Linked DNA regions of Danio rerio. The protein of the gene in region 3 interacts with the protein of the main gene of each other region in a biochemical or structural test. Links are inferred from orthologs where the notes say so. Each region holds a gene or a part of one and is shown on either strand. Other genes may lie near its edges.

The links.
Region 1: the proteins of itcha (region 3) and wbp2 form a complex in vitro, tested with the Homo sapiens proteins (2 studies listed by BioGRID). The link is inferred for Danio rerio from reciprocal best matches to the Homo sapiens genes ITCH and WBP2.
Region 2: the proteins of itcha (region 3) and rnf11b form a complex in vitro, tested with the Homo sapiens proteins (2 studies listed by BioGRID and IntAct). The link is inferred for Danio rerio from reciprocal best matches to the Homo sapiens genes ITCH and RNF11.
Region 4: the proteins of itcha (region 3) and numb form a complex in vitro, tested with the Homo sapiens proteins (3 studies listed by BioGRID). The link is inferred for Danio rerio from reciprocal best matches to the Homo sapiens genes ITCH and NUMB.
Region 5: the proteins of itcha (region 3) and ube2kb form a complex in vitro, tested with the Homo sapiens proteins (2 studies listed by BioGRID). The link is inferred for Danio rerio from reciprocal best matches to the Homo sapiens genes ITCH and UBE2K.
Region 6: the proteins of itcha (region 3) and sh3gl2a form a complex in vitro, tested with the Homo sapiens proteins (2 studies listed by BioGRID, with this or other methods). The link is inferred for Danio rerio from reciprocal best matches to the Homo sapiens genes ITCH and SH3GL2.
Region 7: the proteins of itcha (region 3) and smad3a form a complex in vitro, tested with the Homo sapiens proteins (2 studies listed by BioGRID and IntAct, with this or other methods). The link is inferred for Danio rerio from reciprocal best matches to the Homo sapiens genes ITCH and SMAD3.

What each region holds. Positions count from the first base shown.
Region 1 is NC_133187.1:47,462,334-47,466,487, forward strand, and holds part of wbp2 (WW domain-binding protein 2), read left to right. Parts: intron 1-1,889; coding exon 1,890-1,982; intron 1,983-2,071; exon of another isoform or gene 2,072-2,076; coding exon 2,077-2,226; exon of another isoform or gene 2,227-2,299; intron 2,300-2,452; exon of another isoform or gene 2,453-2,474; coding exon 2,475-2,594; exon of another isoform or gene 2,595-4,154. UniProt on the Homo sapiens protein: Acts as a transcriptional coactivator of estrogen and progesterone receptors (ESR1 and PGR) upon hormone activation. In presence of estrogen, binds to ESR1-responsive promoters. Synergizes with YAP1 to enhance PGR activity.
Region 2 is NC_133183.1:18,241,113-18,245,895, reverse strand, and holds the start of rnf11b (RING finger protein 11b), read left to right. Parts: upstream 1-1,487; 5' UTR 1,488-1,915; coding exon 1,916-2,038; intron 2,039-4,783. UniProt on the Homo sapiens protein: Essential component of a ubiquitin-editing protein complex, comprising also TNFAIP3, ITCH and TAX1BP1, that ensures the transient nature of inflammatory signaling pathways. Promotes the association of TNFAIP3 to RIPK1 after TNF stimulation.
Region 3 is NC_133181.1:60,243,280-60,248,093, forward strand, and holds the start of itcha (itchy E3 ubiquitin protein ligase a), read right to left. Parts: upstream 2,900-4,814; 5' UTR 2,852-2,899; intron 1-2,851. UniProt on the Homo sapiens protein: Acts as an Acts as an E3 ubiquitin-protein ligase which accepts ubiquitin from an E2 ubiquitin-conjugating enzyme in the form of a thioester and then directly transfers the ubiquitin to targeted substrates.
Region 4 is NC_133192.1:57,926,300-57,930,453, forward strand, and holds part of numb (protein numb homolog), read right to left. Parts: intron 3,489-4,154; coding exon 3,183-3,488; intron 1,864-3,182; coding exon 1,720-1,863; intron 1,476-1,719; coding exon 1,323-1,475; intron 1-1,322. UniProt on the Homo sapiens protein: Regulates clathrin-mediated receptor endocytosis. Plays a role in the process of neurogenesis.
Region 5 is NC_133176.1:24,900,044-24,904,197, reverse strand, and holds part of ube2kb (ubiquitin-conjugating enzyme E2Kb (UBC1 homolog, yeast)), read right to left. Parts: intron 2,668-4,154; coding exon 2,585-2,667; intron 2,170-2,584; coding exon 2,070-2,169; intron 382-2,069; coding exon 253-381; intron 1-252. UniProt on the Homo sapiens protein: Accepts ubiquitin from the E1 complex and catalyzes its covalent attachment to other proteins. In vitro, in the presence or in the absence of BRCA1-BARD1 E3 ubiquitin-protein ligase complex, catalyzes the synthesis of 'Lys-48'-linked polyubiquitin chains.
Region 6 is NC_133176.1:28,419,213-28,423,803, reverse strand, and holds the start of sh3gl2a (SH3 domain containing GRB2 like 2a, endophilin A1), read left to right. Parts: upstream 1-1,358; 5' UTR 1,359-1,460; coding exon 1,461-1,505; intron 1,506-4,591. UniProt on the Homo sapiens protein: Implicated in synaptic vesicle endocytosis. May recruit other proteins to membranes with high curvature. Required for BDNF-dependent dendrite outgrowth.
Region 7 is NC_133182.1:34,192,179-34,196,332, forward strand, and holds part of smad3a (mothers against decapentaplegic homolog 3a), read right to left. Parts: intron 3,571-4,154; coding exon 3,358-3,570; intron 3,242-3,357; coding exon 3,104-3,241; exon of another isoform or gene 1,785-3,103; intron 1,493-1,784; exon of another isoform or gene 938-1,492; coding exon 793-937; intron 1-792. UniProt on the Homo sapiens protein: Receptor-regulated SMAD (R-SMAD) that is an intracellular signal transducer and transcriptional modulator activated by TGF-beta (transforming growth factor) and activin type 1 receptor kinases.

The DNA.
Region 1 (4,154 bases), on a different chromosome or scaffold from region 3:
AGCGCTTTGTTTGTCTAGAAAAGTGCTATACAAATGTAAGGAATTAATATATATATAAATTCTGTTAAGATGTTGAGTGATACATCAATCAAAATGACTAAAAGTTAAACTTTGTATAACTTTAAAAAATTATTTGAAACCTGATCAACTTATAAAAATAAGTTAAAGCAGCATAAAAATATTTGTTGTCTCGACCAATTGATTTTATGTTTACAATGAGTTAAGTAGTTGTTGAGATGACTAGAAAAGTTCATTTGATTCAACTTAAAAAGTTAAATCAGCAAGATTTTTTAGTGTACTAAAACATTTATTAAAATATGTTCACTAATTGGTGATGCAGTGGCACAGTAGGGAGTGCTGTCGCTCACAGCAAGAAGGTTGCTGGTTCGAGCCTCGGCTGGGTCAGTTGGTGTTTCTGTGTGGAGTTTGCATGTTCTCTCTGTGTTCGCGTGGGTTTCCTCCGCATACTCTGGTTTCCCCCACAGTCCAAAGACATGCGTTGCAGGTAAATTGGGTAGGCTAAATTGTCCGAACTGTTTGAGTGTGAATGAGAGTGTATGGATGTTTCCCAGAGATGAGTTGCCGTTGAAAGGGCAGCTGCTGTGTAAAACACGTGCTTGATAAGTTGGCGGTTCATTCCACTGTGGCGACCCTGGATTAATAAAGGGACTAAGCCGACAAGAAAATGAATGATAAATGAATGTTTATTAATTGTACGTATAAAAGACAACTTAAATGTTAAAAGATCAACTAAGTATAAATAAGATTAAATAAAAATGTAAAGTTGAAGTGCAAAAAAAGCTTACATGAAGCTAAATAGAAATTGAAAACATTAAAGAATATTAAATAATTTATATATAAATTATAATATATATTAAATAAAAATAAAAAAACTACTAAAAATGTGAATGGGCGGCACGGAGGCTCAGTGGTTTGAGTTCTGGCTAGGTCAGTTGGCATTTCTGTGTGTAGTTTGCATGTTCTCCCCGTGTTGGTGTGGGTTTCCTCTGGGTGCTCCTGTTTCCCCCACAGTCCAAGCACATGTGCTATAGGTGAATTGGCCACTAAATTGGCCATAATGTCTGAGTGTATGAACGTGAGAGTGTATGGGTGTTTCCCAGCTCTGGGCTGCGGCTGGAAGGGCATCCGCTGTGTAAAACATATGCTGGAATAGTTGGCGGTTCATTCCGCTGTAGCAACCCCTGGTAAATAAGGGACTAAGCTGAAGGAAAATTAATGATTGAATAAATGAATGAACGAATGAATATACATTCATTCATTCATTCATTTTCTTGTCGGCTTAGTCCCTTTATTAATTCGGGGTCGCCACAGAGGAATGAACCGCCAACTTATCCAGCAATTTTGTTTTGCGCAGCGGATGCCGCTCCAGCTGCAACTCATCTCTGGGAAACATCCACACACACACACTCATACACTACGGACAACTTGGCCTACCCAATGCACCTGTACCGCATGTCTTTGGACTGTGGGGGAAACCGGAGCACCCGGAGGAAACCCACGCGAAAGAAGGGAGAACATGCAAACTCCACACAGAAATGTCAACTGAGCCGAGGTTCGAACCAGTGACCTTCTTGCTGTGAGGCGACAGCACTACCTATTGTGCCACTGCCTCGCCTGAATAAACATAAATTAACTAAAAATAAAAAATGTAAAAAAAGGCAGTTTCGTATACCATGTGAACAGACAAAAGTAATCAGATCAAGACTCTTCTTGAATTTTGATTTCAATCAAATGTAGAGTCCTGGTTTGAGTTAATCTGAACATGAAAAGGAAGCACACATGTACTTGTGTGGAAGTAAACAGATCTACAGTATAGCATGTACTGTAAATATACTGTAAATACAAGTGTGTTTGCATTATTGTTCCAGGTGGTTGGGAAGGATCTGCAACCTTCAAGCTGATCTTTAGCGCTGGAGGAGCGATCGAGTTTGGTCAGCGCATGTTACATGTGGCAGAGCAGGGTACGTTTGTGCTCAACCAGTTTCAAAATAAGAGTCTCATCATTAAGCAGTCAAACTGATGTGGATGTGCATGACCTCTCTTTCTTTACCTCAGCATCCAGAGGGCAACCGGTGACTGTAAACTTCGGCTGTCCTTACATGGCGAACGGTGCGTACGCTTTTCCTCCACCTCCTCCTGCTAACGGCATGTATCCTGCCGGGCCTCCTCCACCTGGATACGCCTACCCTGGACCTCCACCTCCAGGTAATAACATGCACTTAAAGTCCACATCAACTGGAAGCTGCGACCGTTTTTCTTTCAAATTGTGACGCAGTTCCTAGAAAAACAGAATATTAAACGAGCAAACAGTGGGCGTGGCTTGTTTTTTCTTCTGCGATCTGATTGGATGTAGAAAAATTGGTGTTTCATTCTGAAAGATGGTGAAAAGAGTTTGGGGAGCATTATTACAACCTCACAGTCTCCTCCTTACCATGTTATTTTGTGTGCTTTAGGTGGGTTTTACCCCAGTCCTCCTGTGTTTGATGGACCAGCAGCCTACATGCCTCCTCCTCCATACACTGCTCCAGTGGATCATGCTCCGCTCGACCCAGACCTGCCCAGAACCGCTGCTGGTATGACCCACTTCTAGAAGATGCTGAACTTCTGCAGCCGGATTCTTAAAGGGATAGTTCACGCAAAAAAAGAAATTTGTTTACCATTTATTTGCACTCAAGTGGCTCTAAAGCTGGAATTATACTTGTGCCTGGCGCCGCATCGCGCACCTTTGCTGACTGCGTGCGCACCTCGCAAAACGGATGAGGCTTTTATACTCGCCGCGTTCGCCGTTGTGATAATCTTTAAAACGACAGGGGCGGTCAAAAGAAACCCACCCTAAAATCAGACGAATAAACAGAGAAGTTTCTGGAAGTACGTCATATCATAATGTCGTTCAATATTTTTAAACTAATTATTTTGTATTGTTTTTATAAAGTATTTTAATGATTATAAGCATTTTTATAACCATTTAAGTCTTTTTTAATCAAACTTTAATGCATCACTTGCTTTTGTCCATAACTCGGACAGTTTTACTTTTTAAAGCTTCACAAGAGAACATGAGTTCCTCTACAAATATATCTTTATTATGGCAAGAATAAAAGCAAAAAATAAAAAGTACACTTACTAAAAAAATACAGATTTATTTTTTTTTGGATTTAGCCCGATCCATAAACATACGTTAGTGTAAAAGCTATGACTGATGGAAAAACATATTCTGTAATTGTATACCTGAGTCTTCAATTTTGCCATGATTTCTTTCGGCATAAACAAACTTATCCCTCAGGTTTTTCCAATTTTTTTAGCATAAACTTTCCTCCTTTCCCACTGCTGTTGTTATTTCTAGCAAATTATTATTGGTCATCACTTGCTTTTGTTTATATCTCGAACAGTTATACCTATTACAATTTATTAAAATATTAATGACAACAGAACTTGAGTCGCTCTACAAATAAATGTTTTATTATCGCAAAAATAAAAGCAAAAAAAAAGCACACTGACTAAAAAATACAGATGTTACACAAAAATACACAATTCACACATTACTGTCTGGCTAGTTTCTGTCCTCTACTTATGCTAAAAAGGAAATGATGGTCCAACATTCCTGACCATTATCACCAGTAAAGCCCAGAGAAGCAGGCCATCAGTATATCTATTCCTTTCCAGTTATCAAAAATAATTTTATGACTTCATCATAGTTTTGTAACTATTAAATAGTTTTTAATACAAAATTAAACTAAATACATGCGTGTAAAAACCTATGACTGGTGGAAAAACATTCTGTAATTGTGTACATTTTGTCATGGCCTCTCTTGGTTTTCAAAAACTTATCCTTCAGGTTTTTCCAAACCTTTTAACAAAAACTTTCTCCTTTCCCACTGCTGTTGCAATTTCTAGCCAGGAATTATTGATCATATGATTATCTCTCTGATCACGGGTCATAAGATGTGTGTACAGTTGTATTGTTTCAGATAAAATCTCTTCAAAGTGGTTTATATTTAACTCAAATCAGTTGCGGCGCCGCGCGCACTCTTCGCTCGAGTATCAAAAAATCCCCATGCGCACCGCCAGCCGAAATCATGCTGCACGCACCCAAAGCAAACCACCGCAAACTCCGCGATGACGTCACATTCGCCGTG
Region 2 (4,783 bases), on a different chromosome or scaffold from region 3:
CTTTAAATACTATTGATTTTTAGTACTTTGTTGATGATGAATAAAAATTAATTATACATGTTTCCACAAACCTTAAATCCAGTAATAAAATAACATTTTTGTTGTAGTTTTAATTAGAGTAAAAACAAAGTCTCATCTTTCAAATGATTTTACTATTTTTGTCTTTTTTTTTTTTTGCCAAATATGTGAGAACATGCAAACTCAACACAGAAATGCCAACTGACTTTCTTTTTTGAGCTTTAAGGGGGCTTTTTTAAAGAGTTTACCCAGAAATTAGTTAAAGAGTTATAGTCTTGACAGTAATTAGTCGCTTTCAATTTGATAAAGTGTCAACTAAAAATAGTACCATTCAGAGTGAAATAAAATGTTATAAAACATCTATATCCACCAATTATTCTTATTCCTCTGAAGTTAAAACATTGGAATGGTATTGTCTAAATAAAATATATAAACACATACAGTTAAAGTCAGAATTTAGATTTTTTTTTCTTTTTTTAAATTTTTCTGAAATTATGTTTAACAGAGCAAGTAGATTTTAACAGTATGTCTGATAATATTTTTTCTTCTGGTAAAAATCTTATTTGTTTTATTTAGACTAGAATAAAAGCAGTTTTTAGTTTTTTAAAAACCATTTTAAGGTCATAATTACTGGCCCTTTTAAGCTATTTTTTTTTTTTGATAGTCTACAGAACAAACCATCGTTATACAATAACTTGCCTAATTAACCTATCCTGCCTAGTTAACCTAATTAACCTAGTTAAGCCTTTAAATGTCACTTTAATCTGAATACTAGTTTCTTGAAAAATATCTAGTAAAACATTATTTACGGTCATCATTATACTGTCATGTTATTAAAGATAAGTTATTAAAACTATCGTGTTTAGAAATGTTGAAAAAAACTCTGATAAACAGAAATTGGGGGAAAATATACATAAGGGGGCTAGTAATTCTGACATGGCATATCTGTAATTTTGAACGATTGTCATTGTATGCTCTGAATGACAACATGTTTATTTTACATTTAAGAAATTTCAGTAAAAATCACTGAAACAATCAGTAGCTAGCAGGAAAAAAAAACGGAAACTGAGAAATACGAATTCCCATATGGTATTTAAACAAGAAAAGCAATGAAGATATGAAAGACGACCCCTTTTTCTCCGGATTAACTTGGATGGATTTTTACCTCCGAATTGCACTTTAATCATCATGACATCGATTTGGTTATAATGTAGTAGTCACTCAGTTTAGTTATTCCTCCAATCTGTTCTTCAGGGGAAAGGGGAAAGTCGTGCGTTTTATTTTTCAAACTGACAATTTTACAATTGAAGTGAACTATGCCTTTAAATCGGCCTAATGCGGTCAAGTTTAAAGGCTTTAAACCCCTGTTGTTGGTGTTGTAAGTCTGCAATCTAATTGGGTGACGAGTATCCACTAATAGCGCCCTTACTACTGAAGACGCCTACTGATTGGTGGATTCTGTGCGGAGGCGGGACTTAGAATGACTGCCTGAAAGGCAACATTGCCTGAGTCGCCATTGAGAGCGAGCGCATATTTGATATTGTGGAAATTATCTCCTGGAAGGCTAACCAGTGTGTTTACTATTAAGACGAAGAGAAAGGGACAGCATTACATAAAGAGGCTTTAAATCAAAAAGACGTGTTTCACAGGTTTAGACTGTGTGAATTTATACAAACATCGTTTCATATCCGCGTATGACACTTTTTCCAGGCTTCTTTGTGTCGACAATGGTTTGTTTTTCTCCGTCAGGATCTCTCATGGTGATCGGATCGTTGTAAATGAATGATAGAGGGTTTTGTCGTCCTGTTTAAAGGGACAGAAGTCTGGTTGGAGTGATTAAGGGCGGAAGGGATAGGAAGGATTTCAACATTTAGACAACAAGGAGTTTGGAAAGGAGATGGGGAATTGTCTGAAATCTCCCACTTCGGATGATATCTCCTTGCTCCACGAATCCCAGTCAGACAGGGCCAGTTTCGGTGACGCCAACGATCCAGATCAGGAACCGCCACCTCCGTATCAGGTAAGCTTATAAAAACCATTAGAATACACAAAGAAACTTTGCTTTTGACTAATATAACGTGCCTTGTGTCCACCCTCCTGCTTCAATCATAACATGAACACTCGCAATTCATAATATCAAGCAAATAGACGTAAATATATCACCAACAGCAAGCTCCCGCAGGAGCTCCATCTGTTTAATTTCGCCCTAGAGTGTGTGCCATACTAAATCCTCTTTGTTCGACGTAAACTTGGCCTGCAGTTCACGTCAGACCATCCAGACAGATGGACAGTCTGTTATTTCATCTTTACTGCCGCCTCCGTGGCGTGTTGATTCACCAGCAGCAGCTTTATTGCGATAAAGGTAACCATTCTGGTTGTGACGATTCTTGTTTGCAGTTGTGACGTCATGTCGATGTTATTCTCCTTGCTCGAGTGTTACACAAACCTTTTAAAATATTCTGTTTTCTTCTCTTCACAGACTGTAAGGGCAAACTATATGTATTTAATTTAAATATTACTAATACTGATGTTGTACACATACACAATGTTACTACCTCACTATATATATATTTTTGCAAACTTCCGGGAAGAGAGCTTAAAAATGCTTATAATATGACAATGGGCTGCTCTACATTGTCCTTTAGTCAGAAGTGTTGGGAAGCCTTGCACTCGGGGATTTCCCCATTTTACGGACATGTGGAATCAGTTGAGGTCTAAGTCATGAGATCATGATATTTTAAAGTGATGTCATGCTTTACAAAACATAGTTCAAATGGAAGAACTGGGTTGGCCAGGGTCTTTTTGTTGGATGAAACAAACCATGTCGAAGCAGATAAACTTGTGTAGCACCGTAAGTGAACGTTTTATGTCCAGTCACTGTGTTTTGTAAGAAGCAACATGACTCAGAAGATGTCTGATCTGAAATGTTTGCAACTGTGGTGGCTGTTACATCCTCTTGTTGTGTTGACCTTATCTGTTTTACAAGAACTCTCCAACAAACTGATTGAGGTAAAATTGGTTTAATATTTAGACATTCAGACTTTCGCATTAATAATATAATTTCTGAAAATTAGTCTTTGCAAATCCTAAATAGTGAAATTATATTAGCAGCCAATGACTATTGAAGTACAACATTGTTCAGAGTCAAATAAGTAGTGATAATGTTGTTTAAAGTCATACTTGCGTGTGATTTCAGACCCAATGTTCAAAGTACCATAGTAAACATTATAAGAAGTGTGTCACAAGTAAGTTGTCACTGAAATAATGTGCAAATACAAAACCAACTTTACATTTATAACAAATAATAGTGAGCCGTTGACCGAAGCACAGATAATCTTGTATGCATCTTGAAAGCACACACAGTAATTTCCTCACAACTGATGTGACATAATATAATCTTATTAAGCAAAAGGAACATTCTCTTCAGTCTTAGTTTCAGTTTTTTTCAGCTGAAGGTGGGACGTTAAGTGCTGGACTACTTTCATTTATCAGTTGTGCTAACATTGTTGTCCAATTCATACATTCAAAACATGATTCAAAAATACACATATCCAATTTGTAAGTTTGAAACACGGTTCAGGCGAAGCAGTGGCGCAGAAGGGAGTGCTGTCGCCTCACAGCAAGAAGGTTGCTGGGTCGCTGGTTTGAGCCTCGGCTCCGTTTCTGTGTGGAGTTTGCATGTTCTCCCTGCGTTCGCGTGGGTTTCCTCCGGGTGCTCCGGTTTCCCCCACAGTCCAAAGACATGCGGTACAGGTGAATTGGGTAGTCTAAATTGTCCGTAGTGTATGAGTGTGTGTGTGTGAATGTGTGTGTGGATGTTTCCCAGAGATGGGTTGTGGCTGGAAGGGTATCCGAGGCGTAAAAACTTGCTGGATAAGTTGGCGATTCATTCTGCTGTGCGACCCCAGATTAATAAAGGGACTAAGCCGACAAGAAAGAAATGAAACACGGTTTAAAAATACACAATATATGAATTCCAAATATGATTTAAAAATACACTAATCCAACTCATACATTTGCAACATGATGTAAAAATACACAAATCCAATTCGTAAGTTAGAAACTTAGTTTAAGAATACACAATTCATACATTCGAAACATGATTCAAAAACACATGTCCAATTTGTAAGTTTGAAACACGGTTCAAAAATACACAATATATGAATTCCAAATACGATTTAAAAACACACAAATCCAATTTGTAAATTCAAAACATGATTTAAAAATACACTAATCCAATTCATACATTTGAAACACGATTAAAAAATACACAAATCCAATTCGTAAATTCAAAAGACAATTAAAAAATACACAAATCCAATTTGTAAAAAATACACAAATCTATATAGAAAATTTGAAACAAGATTAAAAAATACACAAATTCAATTCATACATTCAAAACACCATTCAGAAATGCAAAAATCCAATTCATAAGTTTAAAACATCATTCAAAAATACACATCCAATTTGTAAATGCGAAGCACGATTCAAAAATGCACAAATCCAATTTGTAAATTCAAAACACTACGTCATTAGCAGTGATGTCATGCACATTGCATATTTAGCTTATATTCATGGACAAGTACTTCACAACCAAAGCAACAATTACGAGTATAAAAAAGTGGCATTGCCAACTACATTTTTAGTAATTTTAATTTGTTTATGGCAATGTGCATTGATTTGATCTCACTAGTGTGTCCATTCCTGATTTTTATTTTATTCTTTGTTTTGTTTCCACTGATCAATTGAAACATGGAATTGGTTA
Region 3 (4,814 bases):
TGAGTTCACTGCACTCAAATGGCCTCCACAGTCACCAGATCTCAATCTAATAGAGCACCTTTGGGATGTGGTGGAACGGGAGATTGGCATCATGAATGTGCAGCCGACAAATCTGCAGCAACTGTGTGATGCTATCATGTCAATATGGAGCAAAATTACTGAGGAATATTTCCAGCACCTTGTTGAATTTCTGCCATGAAGGATTGAGGCAGTTCTGAAGGCAAAAGTGGGTCCAACCAGGCACTAATAAGGTGTACCTAATAGTGACCGATGATTGTATATTCATTCATTCATTCATTTTTTTTTCGGCTTAGACCAATTATTATTCTGGGGTCGCCACAGCGGAATGAACCGCCAACTTATCCAGCACATGTTTTATGCAGCGGATGGGTGATTGTATGTTTTTAAAAATAATCTTTGAAACGCAGAGCCAGCACCTAAGCTTTTCACTCATCATAGTACACATGCTGCTGATGATGTGACAATAAAAGTTGTTTGATTTGATTTGTCATTATCTTTATAGCTGCAATGCTTGATATGAACAGCCCTTAACTCTGTAAGAAACATCTTCACCAAAAAAACAACAACTGTTGTGGGAAAAAAATGGAATAAATAATTCTCATTCTTTGCACTACAATGAAAGTTTAATAGGTGCTGCTGTTGTCAAACTCCAATAAGAGCATAAAAGCATGAAAACATACAGCAGCCTGCAGAGTGCAGACTATTCAAGTCTTATACTTAAAAACTTGATATGTAAACAATAAACAAATATGAGATTTTTTTTGTCAGTAATTATCTGTTAAAAGGTTTAAACATTGTCTTAATGCCTGGTTAATTTCTTCAGCTCCACACTGACAATTCTGAGGGGTTTATTGATCAACCAATGAACTATTATTCATGGTAACAGGTTTGAGTTTCATCTAATGCATCATTAACTTTTTCAAGTTTAATTCTGCCTGCCAGTGAATCAGGGTGGCGGCTAATATCAGCAATCTGTCAGAGAGGTTAGTTAACCACATAAAGAATTATAACGATTTTTAAGCACTTCATCAATTGTCAGGAAATGATTTTCACAAATCTGCAACCGTTGAATAACACTTGTTTATTGGGGTTTTGAATATATTAAGACTGAACGCTACAGGCAAATCCTTGATTTTTATATACTGATCAATTTTTGGACTGCTTCAGATTACTAAAGAGACAACATACTTTTAAGTGTTCACTTTATATATATATATATATATATATATATATATATATATATATATATATATATATATATATATATATATATATATATATATATTTATATTTGTGTCTGTAGTAGGCATGGGACGATAACTGTTTTCAAAATATACTGCGGTTTGGAAAAGTCAAGGTTTTAAAACCGCCAACATTTTCTGTAATACTGTTCATAAGGTATGTGTAGGATTTTTACTAACATTTTTTTAGGACAACACTATCTCCAGCAAAAAAAAAAATGTCCAAGGATGTCGTTTTAAATTGTAAAGAAATCTGTGTTTTTAAAACAGCAGAAGTCAATGATTTCTTTTAATTATTTAGCCTGACTTGTTTACTGCTTCAAAATATTATAAATCTTTCAGAAAATAAAATATATCGTTTTCAAAGGGGAAACAAGTTTTAGTTTTTTACCCAGACATTTAAAAATAATATATTTTAGGGCAGTAATCAAATACCGTGATACTGTGATACTTTTATCCAAGGTTATTCTACCGTCAAAATCTTAAAGTACATTTCTTTAGGGGATGTGAGCTTTTCATGCACTAAGTCAGAAACATTCCAGTTTCTTAAATAGGCATTTAAACGTGCATTAAAATGTCCAATGTGCTACAATACATATCTTTAAACATTCATTCATTCATTTATTTTCCTATCGGCTTAGTCTCTTTATTAATCTGGGGCCGCCACAGCGGAATAAACTTATCCAGCACATGTTTTATGCAGCGGATGGCGTTCCAGCTGCAACCTATTACTGGAAAACACACACACACACTCATTAACACACATAGATAATGGACAAATCAGCCTACACAATTCACCTATAGTGCATGTCTTTGGACTTGTGGGGAAAACCGGAGCACTTGGAGGAAACTCAGAGCAATCGTGCTGCCCTATCTTTAAACATTGTACTAAAAATTCATCTTTTTAAATTTCAATATTTTATTTAAACCAATAAATAAAAGATTACTGTGTGGAAATGTACAGAAATTAGTGCATGATTAAATAAATAACTCATATTCAAACTGCTTTTTAGAAATGTCTTTCTGTAACCATGTTGACCTGCTGTATCTTACTTTTTTATAATTTGGAAAGTATAAAGACATTAAAAAGCGCCATGAAATGACATCAGATGGTAGCCTATATCATGAACAGACATTAATTGTGCACACAATTGCATGGAACTATAATGGCATAACAGTTACTATGTAAATGTCGTGATATATACATTCAGTGCCTTGGATAAAGACGACAGGTCAGTTTTATGTACATACCATCGTTGTGTTATAACACACATACAGTTACAGTACTTTTGAGAGCAGTGACGTCACATAACGTTACTGACTGTCGGTGTCGCAGCTACAAAATTCAGCATAACAACAGACGGATGTTTACACGTAAGCTACATGCATATATCAAATGGAAAATGAAAACTGGCCGTTGTAAATCGTTTCAGACTATAGTTAAGGTACAGTAACGAGCTGTCAAAACATCACCTGCTAGAGTCCAGTAGTCAGTCACCGGTCAAACAAGCTAACGGTAACGCGTTACCAAAACACGGCTGGTTTAAAGCCATACTGTCCTCTATAGGTGTGTGTCACTAATATCTTACCGTGTTATGATCACAGGGAATGCTTCTAGATGTCAGTTTTAACGGAATCTGAGATCAGCTTTTCGCCGTTTTAATAAACTTTGCTCCATCTCAACCGGGTGACCAAAGGTCCGCCACCAGCACAGGCTCCATGTCGGAGTGACGTATCTGCGCGACCCCGTCACGTGACGACGCGCGCGTCTATCTGGATTATTCAATGCTTCTTTATACAAAGGTGTGCACTGCGCGGTATTTTACTAATATAAAGAGCGAAAGACTAGATATGTGTGTCTATACGTCAAGGTGAGCCAGTAATAGATTTCTTAAGATTATTTATAGGCTTGTTCTTTCACGAGATGGCGCTGTTTGACAGGGAAAGTAGTACAATCATCCATGGTGTTCACTGAAAGATCTTGATAGACATGGCATAGTTGTGGTTTCTATTTGAATGTTCATGTCTCAAATAGTGTTTAATTCATGTAAGTGTTTACAGTGTATTTAACTTAATGAAAATATGGATTCATTACTGTATATAAAATCAACAAAGGCAAAACTGTAAAAAAACCAAAAAGGTTGTGCACCATAAAATATTTAGTCATTTTTTGAGTTGACTTTATTCTATTATCTCAAAAGGTGTGATAGTTTAATTGACTTTTATCATTTTTACATTAAAAGTATTTTTTAAATTATTAAAAAATAAATTAAATAAACCAGGTTGTTTTTTCTGAACATGTTGGTCCTTATTTTATAGTATAATTTAATATGGTTGAATTGTTTAATTTATTCGTATGGTTAATTAATTTATTTTTAATTAAGAAGTTAAGCTTTGTGCAACATAAAGGGCACATATTTATGTCTGGCTGACATATTTTGGCTTAAACTATAACAGGAGCAAAGAATTTATTTGGTTTGAAACCGAATGTTTTATGAATGTCAAATGTCAAACTAACTTTACCGCGGTATCTTAACAGATTTATTTATTTATGCAAGTCCTTGTAAAAACATTAAACACTTAGGAACTCAGCTGTCACTGCATTTTTGCATATTTATTTGTGCATGGTTTTAGTACCATGACATTATTTCTAAATAATATTAATATACTGTGTTAAGGTATTTATTTATTTATTTATTTATTTATTTATCTGTGCAAGTGCTTATTCATTTATTCATCTATTTCTTTTCTTTTCGGCTTAGTCCCTTTATTAATCCAGGGTTGCCACAGTGGAATGAATTGCTAACTTTTCCAGCATATGTTTTACGCAGTGAATGCCCTTCCAGCTGCAACCGGTCACTGGGAAACATCCATACACACTCATTTACACAGATACACTACGGTCAATTTAGCCTACCCAATTCACATGTACAGCATGTCTTTTGACTGCTTTGGAGCACCTGGAGAAAACCCACGCGAATGCGGGGAGAACATGCAAACTCCACACAAAAATGCCAGCTGACCCAGCCGAGGCTCGAACCTACTGCACCACTGCGTCGCCAATAATAATAATATGGTATGCTAAGTTAAATTTATTTATTTATTTATTTTAATTTGGTTAGTTAGACGGTTAATCGGTCACATCTATAGTCGTAAATAGTATAAACTATAGTCATGTGGTCATAAATAGCATATATCATCTTAATATAGAGTATACAGGGTGGAAATGTAGTACATAGAAAACATAAAACTTGTGAGAAAAAGTGTCGATAGTTGCAATAAATTACATAACATGAAAATAAATGTCAGATTATGCAATGGTAATAGCCTATTAGAATATATTATTCATTAATTCATTCTTTCATTTATTAGTTCATTCATTAATTCACTGTCATTTTACAATATAATAAAACAATAATCAAAGAATATGAATAAATAGATTATAAATAAAGATGTTTGTTCTAGCAAAGGCGAGTCAGAGGAGTGTTGTCCATTGAACTACTGCTGGACCAATCAGCATCCGAGGAGGTGGACAAACAGAGCGCGAGAACT
Region 4 (4,154 bases), on a different chromosome or scaffold from region 3:
TTGTACTATATATTTGTATAATGTCCATTATAGTTTATTAAATCTAATAATCAAAGACACGAGTCTGTGTATAATAACAGATTTCACTTCACATTCATAGTCATTTATGTTTACATTTTCTTAAATCAAACATGTAGATTTATAATATCAATGTAATATTAATTATAAGGCTCTGCTTTATGTAATTAAATCATTTTATTGTTAATGTACAGTAAAGCCGATGAATCCATGGTGAGGTAAGTGGTGTTATAAAGTACGCTGCGCTCCATTTGAAGTAGTACCTGACTTGTGTCCTCGCGTCCTCTGGAGTTAATTCTTCCAAGTCGAAACTTGGCAAGTCGAAACTTCCAAGGACACAAGTCCGAACTTTGCGTACTTGGTATTGAGAAACAGTTAATGGTTGCGTCCAAAACCGTATACTTCCATACTATATAGTACGCTAAGATCAGTATGCGAGCAGAGTAGTATGTACGAATTCGTAGAATTTAAAACTCAGTATACGAGAAGTACTCAGATGACCTACTACTTCCGGCGAGATTCTGGAGTGTGCATCCCATGCATGCTGCGCTATCCCATGATGCCCCGCAAGATAATTCATGAATGGGAGTGAAGTGACGCAACTGACGCAGGTAGGTCACGTGACCATGACAAAATGGCGGATGTATTACGTCCGAATTCCGTTCATACTTTTCACATTCATACTGTATAGAACGTACTTTTCTAACGGCTGAGTAGTACGTTTAAAAACAAATGCAGTACCTACTGAGTAGTGGGCGGTTTCAGATGCATCCAATGTCTATTTGTCAATATTTTTGTCGCTAGGCAACCACTGAATCAGCTGAGTTTTGCGCACGAGTGTTGCTGTTGATATTGTTATAATTGTAATTTTTAATATTGTGACATTCAAGATCTGTGAGTCATTCAGCACTGGCTAACTCGAAATAACAACCACACGTCTCTCCTCCATCTTCAAATGTCTCCATAGTCATCATGACAACACAAACACTGCAGGCACCTCGATGGAAATCCCGCCTCTGCTTTCATTTGATTGGACAATGAAACAGACGCGACTGACGTAACGCGCTTTTCCCGCTCAGAGTTGACCTGCGAGCACACAGAGCGCAACAGCAAAAACTTGAGGAGCAGCAGGCGGTTAAAGGACGAGGTGCGCAGGTTCATCATCAGCATGCAAAACGCTCGCGGCCGTTAGTAAATCATTCAACGCAAAAAACGCAATTGGTGTGGTCGGCCCCTAACACTGAAAGCAAGATGCATTAGTGAGCGCTTGTTCTGCATGGCCAGCAGGAAGCCTGTGCTCTTACCTGTGTGTGCTGCGTGTGCCGGGGCTGTGTTTGGGGCTTTGGCCCAGGGGTTAGTCTCGCGGACGGGCAACGGTGGTGGCGGCAGCACAGGTGAGTTAGCTGCAGTGGTTACAGTGACGCTAGGCGGAGGGAAGGCAGGAACTGCGCCATTAACTACAGCAGCAGACAGGACCAGAAGATTAGAGACAAAGCCGGACACATACACACACGCAGGCGTTCACACACACACACACACACACACACTAGGGGTTGCAAAGACTAGCTGATTAGCTCTGCCACTACTCTACAGGGATGTAGTAATGAACCACACGCTGGTTTAAAATTGATAAACAGCCAACAGCAGACTAGTGAAGGAGTAAGCATTGATGTAAGCTGTAATATACACACACACACTGACCTGGAGCGGCAGGTGATTGTGGTGAGGAGGCTGGTTTGGGCATGGGTGCAGAGGAGAAGGGGTCTTCAGGAGGCCCGCTGAAGGTGGACGTGATCTGAGTGCACAGAGAGCTGATGCTGTCCACCTCACCCTCCACCTCCGGCACTGACACACACACACACAAACACACACACACACACACACACACACACACACACACACACACACACACACACACACATTTATATCATCTAATGAAAACTACAGCATCGTCACACAGACAGAAGGATGTCCCTTTTCCAGGCTGTTATTTTAATAGTAGTTGGTGCTCTAGGCTAGTTTTAAGAGTAGATGGCGCTTTAGGCTTGTTTTAATAGTAGATAGCGCTCTAGGCTAGTTTAACAGCAGACAACACTCTAGGCTAGTTTAACAGCAGACAACGCTCTAGGCTAGTTTAACAGCAGACAGCGCTCTAGGCTAGTTTAACAGCAGACGGCGCTCTAGGCTAGTTTAACAGCAGACGGCGCTCTAGGCTAGTTTTAAGAGTAGATGGCGCTCTAGGCTAGTTTTAAGAGTAGATGGCGCTCTAGGCTAGTTTAACAGCAGATGGCGCTCTAGGCTAGTTTTACAGCAGACAACACTCTAGGCTAGTTTTAAGAGTAGATGGCGCTCTAGGCTAGTTTAACAGCAGACGGCGCTCTAGGCTAGTTTAACAGCAGACGGCGCTCTAGGCTAGTTTAACAGCAGATGGCGCTCTAAGCTAGTTTAACAGCAGATGGCGCTCTAAGCTAGTTTAACAGCAGATGGTGCTCTAAGCTAGTTTAACAGCAGATGGCGCTCTAAGCTAGTTTAACAGCAGATGGCGCTCTAAGCTAGTTTAACAGCAGATGGCGCTCTAGGCTAGTTTTTAATTGTAGATGGCGCTCTAGGCTAGTTTTAAGAGTAGATGGCGCTCTAGGCTAGTTTTAAGAGTAGATGGCGCTCTAGGCTAGTTTTTAATAGTAGATGGCGCTCTAGGCTAGTTTAACAGCAGACGGCGCTCCAGGCTAGTTTTTAACAGTAGATGGCGCTCTAGGCTAGTTTAACAGCAGACAGTGCTCTAGGCTAGATTTTAATAGTAGACAGTGCTCTAGGCTAGATTTTAATAGTAGACAGTGCTCTAGGCTAGATTTTAATAGTAGATGGCGCTTTAGGCGAGTTATTAACAGCAGACAGTGCTCTAGGCTAGTTTAACAGCAGACGACGCTTTAGGATAGTTTACCAGCAGATGGTGCTCTAGGCTAGTTTAACAGCAGATGGCGCTCTAGGCTAGTTTTTAACAGTAGATGATGTTTGCCCCATGGAACATTAATCCGCATCGGTTTCTGTTTTCCCGTTTGAATTGACTTGTATGCAATTTAAAAGTGTAACCTAATTCCGTGTTTGGTGTGAACAAGTTGTTTTTTTTAAATATGATGAAAATGTAGCTGCTGATGGGGCATTACCAGTGTTTTTGATGGGGAAGTCAGACTTGCGCTGCATGGTGGAGGGCAGCTCGTTCATGCGCAGCGACATCTGCCGCTTAAAGGGCGATGTCTTTTGGCTGAGCGCCGGGAAGCCCCTGAAGGAGCCTTGGCGAGCGAGAGCCTCCACAGGAGCGTGCCGGCGCGGGATGACATGAGGATTTCCGTCCTGCAGGCCCAGCGGAGCCATGGGCAGAGGAGGAGATGAGGAGCCATTGGGGCCCGCCAGAGTCACCACCACTGGGTTACAGGAGCCGCCGGAAGAGCTGCTTATCACTAAATCTGAGTCTGAGAGAGAGAGAGGTTATTGTTTTTATAATCATATTAGTCATTTTCCTATTTCTGTATGTATCAAATTTTTTTTTTGATAATGTATCTATGATATACACTCGCCGGCCACTTTATTAGGTACAGCTCTTCAACTGCTCGTTAACGCAAATTTCCAATCAGCCAATCACATGGCAGCAACTCAATGCATTTAGGCATGTAGTCAAGATGGTCAAGATAATCTGCTGCAGTTCAAAGCGAACATCAGAATGGGGAAGAAAGAGGATTTAAGTGACTTTGAACGTGGCATGGTTGTTGATTTCAGAAACTGCTGATCTACTGGGATTTTCACGCACAACCATCTCTAGGGTTTACAGAGAATGGTCCAACAAAGAGGAAATATCCAGTGAGCGGCAGTTCTGTGGGCGCAAATGACTTGTTGATGAGGCCAGAGGTCAGAGGAGAATGGCCAGACTGGTTCCAGCTGATAGAAAGGCAACAGTAACTCAAATAAGCACTCGTTACAACCGAGCTCTGCAGAAGAGCATCTCTGAACACACAACACGTCCAACCTTGAGGCGGATGGGCTACAGCAGCAGAAGAGCACACCGGGTGCTGCTCCTGTCAGCTAAGAACAGGAAACTGAGGCTACAATTCACACAGACTCACCAAAACTGGACAATAGAA
Region 5 (4,154 bases), on a different chromosome or scaffold from region 3:
ATCAACAACCGATAGATAGAAATCTCCAACAAGTAAATCTTTTTTACTAGCAGTTGCCAGTCAAAAGCCAGCATGCTAAACACAACACAGGACAGGATTAGAACCTCAATAGCTTTGGACATTTTGAATTTCCAACAAGTAATGTGCCAATAGTGCCACATGTCACAAAGCCAATAATACCACATGTCACAAAGTTGCCAAACCCTGCTTTAGTCAGTGCATCTTTTTATTTTGCCACTATTCAGTACTTACTTTGTCAAAGCCCATTGCACAAAGTTTGTCTATTTTGCGTGTGTACTCTGGACTGGACACAGGAGCACCAGCGTAAACGTGAGACCAGAGACGAGCAGTTTGTTTGAACATTTCTGGATTCTGCTTATACTGCAAAAAAAAAAAAGACAACAGTGACGTTGTTAAAAGGTTTACAAAGCCACATTGTCATGCAATATTCTCATTTAGACAGAGACACGGGCTGCATCCGAAATCGCATACTTCCCTGTGATATAGCAGTGTGTCTAAATAAGTAATACGTGAAGAAATACACGGAGGTAGCCATGGGACAATAACCGTTTTCAAGATTAAAAAAAAAATAATTTAAAAAATTTTTAAATTCGCTTAAATTTTCTGTTATACCATTCTTACGTTATATACAAGTTAAGTGCTTTTACTGCCATTTTATTTAGTATTTTAGGGGAACAGTATCTCCAGCAGAAAAGGAACATCCACATCAAAAGCTACTGGTCAGCCCACATCTGAAAACCAAATCATTTATACGCCAACATCCAAGCATGCTATGGACCCTTATTTATATCCAAAGATAAGAAAATTATCCAAAGATGCCTTTTCAAATGTGAAACTATAAGTAGAAGAAATATAAAGAACATAATAAACACAACAGCATGAAAACCTTAATATTTTTATCCAAGGTTATTATACCGTCAGAATCTTATACTGGCCCATGCCTACCCAGAGGACCTACTACCTACTCCGGCTTTGTTTTGTTTCCAGTCGAAATATCCAAAAAGTTTTAAAAATCAAGAAGCATTTTCTAAACAAGCAAAACATACTGTCTTGTTTTAAGAAATATGTCAAAATTAAGGTAAAAAAAAAAGTTAAATAATCTGCCAGTGGGCTAAGCAAAATAATCTTATGTCAAAAGGGAAAACAGGACAATACAATATGCTTTGCTTGTCTAGAAAATGCTTTGTGATTTCGAAATTTTTAGATATTTGGACTAATGAAGTTTGGCCTACATGCTCATTTTTAAAAGAAACTTCTTTGGTGCATCAATCTTGTCAATGCTATTATTCAAAAAGGAAATGATTCGCACTTATCAAGTAATTGCTTCGTACTGTTTTTATTTTTACATTCTACGTTTGATTCAACGTTTCGGCACAATGCCTTCCTCAGTGTGTGCAATGTAGATATTTGGACTAGAAACAAAACAAACTTCTTCCCAAGAAAAGTACTTATTGCTTAGTGCTGTAGTGCACATCAAATAGATGCAACGCTATCCCATGATGCCACACGTAAGAGAAATTAATGAATGGACAAAGCAAATCAACTGACGCAGGTAGGTCATGTGTAGGCCCACACGAAATCTGTGCGCGCAAAATTCCGCAGGTTTTTAGCCCATCATTAATTCTGTTTATTTCCGCAGACTTTTAGCCCATCATTAATTGTTTATTTACTTGTGTAAATGTTTGTAAATCTATATTCAGTTTTTAATCAATAACAGTAAAATTGACTAATATGAAAATATTCACTTGATTTTTATACAGTGCATATTTTCAGTCTTTTAGTAGATATACGAGAGACTTGCTTTGTTTACCAAATAAAGTGAATCTAATTAGATTTGCATTTTACACATTCAATAAAAGTTAAAAGATAATGTTTTTTTATTTCACATATTAAGGTTTTAGTTATGATTCTAATCATTCATAATACTCACGCATTGTACTATTTAAAACGTACCTTTCTAACTATCATGAGGTAAATTCAGATGAATAACCTACTCGAGTAGTATGTGATTTCGAACGCAGCCACTGACAGTGCATATTTGACTGTACCTGATTGGCTACCACAGCGTCCTGTGGATCATCGGGCTCTGCTGCAGCTAACAGAGCCTGTAGTGAGAGCAGAACTGTTCGCAGAGTCATAGCAGCAGCCCTGTGCACAGGATATGAAGACACAATCATTTGAAAAGGGAACAGGAAGGAGAGAAAGAAAGAGCAGTGTCAAAATTATTGAAGGGTTCGTTCACCCAAAATGAAAATGCTGCTATCATTCACTCAGCCTCCACTTGTTTAAAAGCTGATGGACATTCCTTTTTCTGTTGAACACAATTCAAGATATTTGGAAGAATAATGGAAACCAGTAACCACTGACATCCCTAGTATTTGTTTTTGCAACTATGGATGTCAACAGGTTTTCAACATTTTCATGATATTGTATTTTGTGTTCAACAGAAAACAGAAACCCATTAAAGTTAGGAACTACTTAATTTGGAGTTAACTTTGAATCAGTTTTCATTTTTAGTTGAACCATTAAATTAAATGATGAGTCATGATAATGAAGCACTCACCACTGGTCTTTTAAAATGTCCAAACATATCGCCCCGGTAACAGAACTTATATTGGGATGCCAGATCTTAGTAATAAACCGCACCTGAAAAAGATGACAAAACTCATTTTAATTTATGATATATTTATTTGCTGCGAGTTGATATTAAATTCTGAATGATCTTCTTTGCCTTGTTAATGCACTCAGAATTGTCATCAATGAACAATAATCTGAAATTGAGGTGGGACTGAAGAGACTCAAGAGTAAAAAATGAGTACAATTAATATTCTTTCCTTTTTCTCCATTCATCACGTCTTTCAATGTAACAAATGTTCAGAAACAAAAACATCTTGTCTATAACATTTAAAACAGGAATCATTTGTTGCCTCTATATAAAAAAAAAATTGTAAATCTTTGCCAGTTTTCTTTTACCAACTCATGTATTAGGATGACGTTTTTAATAATTTAAAATACCACAAAATGTAGTTGATAAGCTTTTATTCTTAACCTAATATATGCATTATTCATTCATTTTCCTTCAGCTTAGTCTATTTCAGAGGTCATCACAGGGGATTGAACTGCCAAGTACTCCAGCATATGTTTTATGCAGAGCATGTCGCCCCAACCCAGTACTGGGAAACACCCATACATTCTCATTGACACACACTCTTATACACCATGGCCAATTTAGCTTATTAAATTCACCTATCACGCATGTCTTTGGACTATAAAGGAATTCGGAGCACCCGGAAGAAACCCACACCAACACAGAGAGAACATACAAACTGCACACAGAAATGCCAACTGGCCCAGCCGGGACCCGAACCAGTGACCTTCTTGCTGTGAGGTGACAGTGCTAACCACAGAGCCACCGTGCCACCCTTTGGGGCATTATTGCAACATTTATTAAAAGATTATTATTAATATTAAAGCTAACATTTTAATATGCTTTCTATGCATGTAAAAACACTGCATGTAATTTGAATCAGACTTCAAAATGTGTCTCATCCTTGACTAAAGATTTCTGTCTATTTAAATATCTTCTAGAAGGTTTCCCAGCAGTTAAAAAAAATGTACAGAACAGGAGTCACACATTGGATATCTGCTTTCATATCGAAATAAATTGAAATGTGTAAGTACTTTGTGATTGCCAATTTATATTCAAATACAAGAAGGCATTTAAATGTTACCAAGAGTAAGTGCAAGATTAGGTTCAGCTGCAACTTTTTTTTTAACTGTTACTTACTGGTTTATTAATCAATTGTTGGGGCATTGCAGATCAAACGACTGAGAATTACACGTTAATAAACTTTCATTTTATTTGGAACATAATAAACAGCAGACGAAACATTCATATCATTACTTGAAGACAAATGATAATGTATATGTTCTAAAATCTGTTTAAAATTTCAAACATGTCTGATATCCTCTGACTAATCATAGCCTGGCGCAAAGGAAAAAAATAATCAATGTCAATAATATAAAATCTGGATCTTTTTTTTTTTTATTTTATTTTTTTTCCTCCAAACTAGCAATGACCCCTCTAGACTTAAAGACAAAGAGAAGAGAGATTTACTTGAACACTTTAACAG
Region 6 (4,591 bases), on a different chromosome or scaffold from region 3:
TTCTGGAGTCCATGGAAAATACTTTTGCCCTGACATAGGTAGAAGCTTGCAGAGCATTTCAACTGACTGCCTTAAACCACCTGGATCAGCTAAATGAAATGGCCGAAGTGGATACCTGACCTCTGTCAATCCAGCTGCAAGTTTGCTGTCTGAGCTGTTCCTTATGACAGACTGCTGTGGATGAGCACTACAAGGGCAGAATGACAATTTTAATATTATGCAAATAGGTAATATTAACTGCTGATAGATAACATAAACTTGAAATACATAAGATGTCATAGCAGTGTTTCACAAAACTGGTCCCTATTTTTTCTAATAAGCAACTAAAAAGTTCTGTCTGGTCTTTTAACAGGTAGTCATGCAAAATTTGCAGAGATGGGAGTACTTTGTGAGACACATTTTTAACCACTGTATTATATAATTGATTAAATTGTACTGTTTTATAATGTTACAAATTGTACATGTTGTACATGTTGTCTTAATGTAACACTGGTGGTTACTGTACATTCCTGTTTAAGAATGATAAGTAATTTTAATCTTTTATGAAGGTTGATGTTGCTGATTTCTTGGAATCTTTGTGTGCAGATGTTGGCTGCAATGCCTATGCCTATTACAGCAAGGCAACAGGTTTATGACACTGGGATATCTGGACACACTTTACAAAAAGTTTCCATTAGTTAATTTTAGTTCACGTGTTTACAAACATGAATGAACAAAACATGTACAGCATTTATTAATAATCAGCATTTTCATAATTTACAAATGCATTATTAAAATCCAAAGCTGTGCTTATTACCATTAGTTAATGCACTGTGATCTACCTTTATTTAAAGTAACTAATGTTAACAAAGATAAATACTGTGATAAGCATATTGTTTATGATAGTAAACACATAAACTAACTTAAACTATTGAAACCCTATTATAAAGTGTTACCAGATAGCTTTAGGACCATCCAACCACCTGATCCAGAAAGTGTTGGCTGACAATCTAAATATATTAAATCACATCCCCACTATAGAGAGAGAGCATTTTTTACGACAAAATTTCAGTGTTCCCTAGAGTCCCCCTGTCTGCCATTTTTCTTCTTCTTAATATTATTATTAGTATTGATTATTATATATATATATATATATATATATATATATATATATATATATATATATATATACGGTACGGTTTCTCCCCTGACCTGTCTTGAATGTACCTGTTGGCGTAACGCCTTTTTGAATTAACCTTGAAGGTTCCCCTGGAGGAGGGGCTCAGCTGTAATCCGTGGGGAGGCGGAACCTGACGCGTGATGTCACAGCCTCGTCATCATCAGCTGCTATAATCAGCCTACTCGTGTGGTGATTCCCAGTGTACGAGGGTTTATTTCTGAACGTCTCTCATCCCCGTATCTCTGAACATATTTACATCTCATCCAGGGGTTAGAAGAATAGCACTAGTCCAATCGGAACCATGTCTGTAGCGGGACTGAAGAAACAATTCCACAAAGCCACTCAGGTAAGATGCAACGGTACATGAATTCAGCATTCTGTTCTGTTGACCATTACGAGCCTGAAAATGGGTTTGCTGCAGTGCTACAGCAGACAGAACAGCTTGTGTCCTGAATCGTAATGCGGCTCTTCACTCTGAACAGCGTGTGCTTTATTCAACGCACCGTAATATAAACAAATGAAGGCACTATATGTTGCCATCGGGCTAGTCGCTGTCAAAGCATTTCGTTCAGATGTTAGGATGAAGGATGTTCTGTGTTTTTTTTCCGTGCTCTTATCAGCACCGTTGAAATGAAAACGCGTGAACATCAATATTTTAAGATGCGTAGATAAGGGCTGTTACATAATAGCTCATATCCTTAAATTGACCTCGATGCCCTCTAAAGCAGTCGTGATGCTGTGACACTTTAAATCCACGATGCCAAAGCCACCACATATAGGCTTTAGGTCCAATTTTATGGAATTGGAATTTTTGCCATTTTATATATATATATATATATATATATATATATATATATATATATATATATATATATATATATATATATATATATATTTTATTTTATTTTTATTTTTTTTCATATTAGCCCCCTAAATCTGGTTGAATTTTAATTTCAACTATTATCATTATTTTCTGTGTATGTGTAAATTTCTGTATGTTTGTGTCAGTGGACATAAAACTAGATTTAATCTCTGGTTACCTTGTGAGGCTGCATTACTCTTGGTTCTCCATCTAGTGTCCTTGTTTAAAGATTCACCTTGCATTAATAGAGGAATGAGAGATGCATGTCTCACTGTAATTTTGTGTAGACATAATTTGGGATTTAAATTGTGCCATTTTGAAGTATACAATCTCAAACGCGGAAAAACATGACTCCAGCATCCCTTTACATTGTTCTTAACATGAAATTCTTTGACTTGCATAGCTGCCTGACATTAAACAACATAATCTGTCTCATTCTGACCAATCGTCAGGCTGTGACATCATCAGTGCACGCTGCAGAGTGGAGAGGGTGGCATGACTCAGAGCTGCTCTGTAGAACAGATGGTTCCTCAAACACACTGCTCCATCTCACAGCTTGCTGTGTACTTTATACACAGCCTTCTTGCAGTCGTGACAAAATATAGTGCCTGCTCTGTGAAATGCAGAGGCAGGTTTAACTAGTTTTACCTCCATTATTTATTCTTGGAAATTTAATTGCATAGTAAATACTTGCTTGTATTTGAACCATAGGTTTGCCCATTACTAACCAAACAAAATAAAATGTAATAAAAATAAAAACAAAAACTATAGCATTCAGATTATATTCAAATTGTGTACCTGAATAGGCCATGAGAGACAACAAGCATTTGTTTATAAGGTATTTTGTTCATGAGCACTTAGTTTTAAAATGACAAACAAAAAAACAAAGCATTTCCAGCACTCTAACACTTTAGTTCACACCATCTGGCTTTTTAGCCAATTGTGATTTGTTGCACAAAACTGAGGTGAGATTTCATGAAAACTGTCTTTGACTATTCTGTTTGGCTGTATGTAATTATGCAGAGATTTTGTAAGTGTCTTATGAAAGTGATTTTTATTTGAGTATACACAAAGACCACACACACACACACACATTCTGTTTTCATCAACTATGAATTTATTTTGAGCCTATGTACAGAAAATGTCATTTCTGTTTTATTACATGTAATAGATGAAAATTATGCAATCAGAGAACATCTTTCTTGATTTTTTTTACCATTGGGTGTTTTGAAATGGTTGATCACAGTGTCACAAATTCGTGTTGTTGTTTTTTTCATTTGTGAGCAGTAGTGTACTTGGACATGTAGAGATTTCTTTAGCTTCTATCTCTAGGTTTCTTTGATGTAAGGCACTATTTATGCATCACAGCGCCTGTCCCAAACATGGCTGATGTTTTTTTCTGCTTTCCCCTATTACAAATTCTGGACGTTGCTTACTGCAGTGCACACATTTTTCTGTTGAAGTTTTTGTCAGCTGTACCACATACTTGGCAGGCCAGTGTTTTTAAAATGACCCTAAACAGTGGGACATTTTACCACCTAAAGAATGAGATGTTTTTCCCTTACAAATATTAAAATATATTGTTTTATTGTTGTGTGTTTTAGCACATCGCTTCCTGCACTTGAACAGTATGTTCAAGATTATCAGTAAAATGCTTATCAAAAATGCTAAGTAAAATGCTAAGTTATCAGTAAAATGCTAAGTTTTTAAATGCTAATCAAATTGTGAGCTGTCTATTGTCCATCTTCACAGAAATGAAGACTATTTCAAATTGTAGAGAGCAGATTATACACCCTCCTAAAATAGTACTTTCAGGATGGAATGCCTTTTGTAGTGTTAAATAGGTGAGCCTGTTGTAAGGTGAGTACATAGTCACTGAAAAAAACATGCACTGGCAAGCTAGTTAATAGTACAGTGCCTAGTGCAGGTAACTGGTGATCAGCCCCTATCTGGCCTCAGGAGGAGATGGCTCCGGTTCAGAAAATGCAGCAGTGCTCAAAATGGGTAAAACATTTGTTCCAGCTGATTTACCTCAGATGGCAGATTTAGTTCCAGATGGCAGAGGGGCAAAAGCCTCTGAGAGAGAAAGGCCCTGCACAGTTTGGTAGAGAATAGGGAAGTAGACATTTGTTAGTTTTAAAGTGCTTTCACCCATATACTAACTTATATTATTTGGCTATAAATATAGTAATTATAACAAACGATGTGTTAACGGTTAACTAACTCTATCTATTGTTGCAACACCAAAACATAGAATATTCAAATTTTATAAGCTCATTAACTTTATATCATAAGCCTACTATCTTTAAATGATTTCCTAAGCCTACTTTGGTGATAAGCAGTAGTTTGTTCTTTCCTGGAACCAGCTCATTTGTTTTGTTCTAATCTCCAGCACCTACAGGATTTAAGTCTATGCAGAGTCAGTGTTAGAATTAATTATTTCAAATTTTGCATGTTCTCATGTTCAATTTTAGTACAAACAGAACATAAATATAATTTTTTTAGTCTTTTTAGAAGACTTTTTATTTTTATTCTCAACATGCAGTATAAGAGAGAATGGTGAAAGATTT
Region 7 (4,154 bases), on a different chromosome or scaffold from region 3:
AAAGAACCGTCAATATTGCCATTTGAAAGACTTTGTATGCCTTTTTCTGATAAGTCTAATATTGATCTAGCTAAATCCATGTGGTTAATTTTAAGAATTTAAAGCGCTTTTGGAGAGCAATATGGGAAAGGTTCCTGAATAATTTGTAGAGAAAACTATTAACATGTTCTGTAAATGTACATATTATATGAAGTATTTTTCCACATAAAAAGTATTTTTTTGTTGTTGACAGATGTTAGTTTTCACTTTATTTCTACATCTCACATCATCAAATGCACCTTGATTAGTTTAGATTGTTTAGATAATTATTTTGGGAAATAAATATTCAGTGAATATATATATATATATATTTTTTTTAAATACATGTAACACGTAATGCCATGACATATCTTCAGTACTATAATCATTCTAAGAATATCTGTTTATCAACCATCATCAGTTATCAACACTAGCCTATGAATTATCAGTAATTTCCAAAATTAATTTGTTGCACTGCTAATATTAAGACCTAATCAAGTTCTACCATTGAAATCAAATTAAAGCAATCTAAATGCAAAAACAATCATTACTACAATTATTCCATTTATTATTCAGCAGCTACTTTCTACAAAAACTGATTACGACAAATCAGAAATCAAAGAATTTAACAGGAAGCAAAAGAGGCTTCTGTGGTTTTGGGTAACACCACTTCACAAGTGAGGTAAAAGTCTTTGAGTGAGTCAAATCAAGGCCACATTCCAGGAGTGGTAGGCAAGATGATAGATAAGAAGGAAGTAATTTCAGAAATCATACCTGTACTCGGCTCCCCAGCCCTTCACAAAGCTCATGCGAATGGTGCACATGCGTGTGAGCTGGTATACAGCCTCAAAGCCCTGATTCACAGACTGGGCCAACAGGGCTGCAAACTCCTGATTATTAAAGATCTTCAGATTACAGCCTGGATGGACACAAAGCAAAGTTCATATATCAATAACAAACTAAACTAAAACGGCTAAACTGATTTGGTGTTAGTGTTGAGTTAGTTGCTTCAAAAAAGTAGTTAATTAATCACATCAGTAAAATTATATTTAAATTACTTTTGCAGTCACTTTGTCTGAAAGGTAATTTAATTACTTGACTCGGTACTACTAAATATTCATATAAGTCTTACCGCATTAATGGACAATTGAAATTAAACTTTTTAATCTGAGCCAAACAGGACCTTTTTTTTTAGATATTAACATTTAAAATATTTAACATTAAATGGATCAATACAAAAATAAAACAACAATTTTTTTTTTTAATTCAAAGATTTTTATTAAAATTGTTGGACAAATTAAACTAGTGTTGTCACAATACTGGAATTTGATACTAATCAATTTTAAAAACGTACGTTTCCCGCAAACATTTGAGCGCTTTTGAACATGTTCTTAAACACCACTGATTTGCCATTGTGTTCACATGCTCAACAGAAATGAATGTGATTGGTCATGAAGGTCATCAGTTCACCAAACTCACAGCTGTTTACTGAGTGTAAACACAGATACAGGAGCACTGGACCATTTTAAAGCCGCGATTCAACTGTGTACTGCTCGTATGTCAGCTTATAGACATACCAGCTTATTGACGTCACTTTGAAACACTCCAGTTTACACTTAATAAACATCGGTGAGTTCGGTGAACTAATGACCTTCATGACCAACCACAGTCATTTCTGTTGAACACATGAAAACAATGGCAAATCAGTGCTGTTTTAGCTCCACATCGCTTAAATGTTAGTAGGAAATGGAAGTTTTGATCGGTACTGAATTCCAGTATCGTGACAACACTGAATCGAACAATCTTTAGTTGAAAAATCGAGTTATCAAGCAAAAGCACACAATTACTCTACTTCTCTTTATTCATACCCTATATTTTCATGAACTAATTTCTCACTCAATTTGTTATTATGTGCAACTGTCTTAATAAATGTAACCTTCTTTAGTTGAAAAATTTAATTATTCTGTAAACTATATTTGTATAACAAATACAAAATTACTTTTAACGTGATTTATACAGAACAGCTAATTTTATGTTCACTATTAAAGGAAAGTATATTGTAAGTAACTAGGGGTGTGACGAGATCTCGGGCTACAAGATCTCATGAGATTAAATCGCAATGAGATTTCTCTTTGAGGTGAAAAGTTGTCTTGTTAGTTGCGATGTTATAGTTGAGCGTGTGGGTGAATTTGGCACTAAAAATTGGAGGCAGGATTGGATTAGAACTGTAAATTAAGTGCTTTGAACAAAGTAAACTCTTGGAGACACACATTTAATTCGGCGTGCGGTATCTAATTTCATTAAAACTGCTAGCTCAAAGTTTGTCCAGTCAGTACTTTATAGCAAAATATTTTGCAGGGTTTGCATGTCCTTTATGCCATAACTCATTAAAATATAAGTAAAATAACATTCATTACAAGTTTTATTTTAATAAGCAACTAAATAGTTTTGCATGTTGTGATTTTTTTTTCAGTTGAATAAAAGACTATTTGTCATTCATATATTTCATCATTGAGAATTCCAAAAAATTGTATAAGAATCTTGTCTCGTCTCGTAAACCCAATTTCGTGTCTCATCTCATGGAGTTAGCATTTCATCACACCCGTAAAAGTAACTAAATAAATTACCTGAAAATGAAAAGTAATCCCTTACTATTATTTGTACTTTCTAACTAATTATACCAACACTGTCTGGCACAATAGCTGGGTTTCTATCTCCATTTTGTTAATGCACATTCTGAAGTATCACATGAGAAACGAATGATGCAAATCTTAAAACCCATCGGGCGTAGCAAACATTACACCCTCATAATGCGTGCCTTGTTTACTTTTGGTCACTATGTTGGCCGCTCTACAAGCTTGATGGAAACTGACCTAATTTACATCTGTTATTTTTTTTCTTCTTTCACTTCACGTTAGGATGAAAACCCGGCCAAAGTCAAGGAACCATCATTAATGACTCGGTTCCCTTTTTCAATTTAACTATTCATGAACTTAGTAGATTCTCTGTTGATGATAGCTATTCACAGAGGGTCCCTTGTTTTATCTTGAGAGCTGTTCATTGAGAGTCTTTAGTTTTATCTCACCAGGTGGAATCTTGCAAACAGTAGCGGGGTGCCAGCCGTAACGCTGATTGCAGTTGGGACTCTGAACAAAAATGGCGCTGTCACTTAGACACTCTGCAAACACTTCACCTCCAATGTAATACAAACGCACACCCCGGCCTGCGAAAACAAAAGATTGTCACATAAGTAAGGAAATCAAACACATTACTATAAGTAAAAGCCATTTTAAATCAGTTTGTGTTATAAATAGGTATTTGAGACAAATGTGTGTGTACCAATGTGTCTGCGTGTGAGCTCCACAGCAGCGTTTCGGTTCACATTGGACAGCAGTCCGAGACAAAAACGCTCTGAGTTGGACGGGTCTGTGAAGCCATCTACTGTTAAAGAGGGCTGTGAGGCATGGAAAGTTTCTCCTACTCGCTGGTTCAATTCGTAGTAGGAAATAGAGCACCAAAATGCTGGTTCACAGTATGTCACTGGCTGTAGATCTAAAAGAGAGAGAAAAAAGAGCAATGTAAAATGAGAATCAGCGAGGCACAGACAGACATAGAAAGAGGCAGAGGGAAAAAATAGAAAGAAACACGAATGAAAAAAAGACAGGAAGAGGAAAAACAAACAAGTGAGTTGGGATCCCTGAAGAGACATGGGGGCTGGAAACTGACGACACTGTGATGTCAAGAGCAAATGTTACTTCCCAGAAATAAAGGCTGAATCGGGAAATGCCATCACTTAGAGGTAAAAAATTACAGGCTTATGGAAATGGCCATTCTCTGTGCCACACACACACCACTGTGGAGAAATCACATGTGGGATCTGCAGAAGTCCAATCTGGTACAATAGGGAATTGTGGGCCCTCCCTTCGTAAGATGAACAGGATGTTTAGTGTGGGTGGTTTTCATCAAAGTTGTTTTGGGGACATTTAACAATCTATTTCTTCTGAGAAATTGAAAGCACAAATTAACAAATAGTTTGTCGAACTATTCTAAATATGCACAGTCAGCATTTACTAACCTAGGTCTCACTTAACAGTTCTTGGGTCATTTATAACTAGACAAGGTAAGAAATGAGTTGA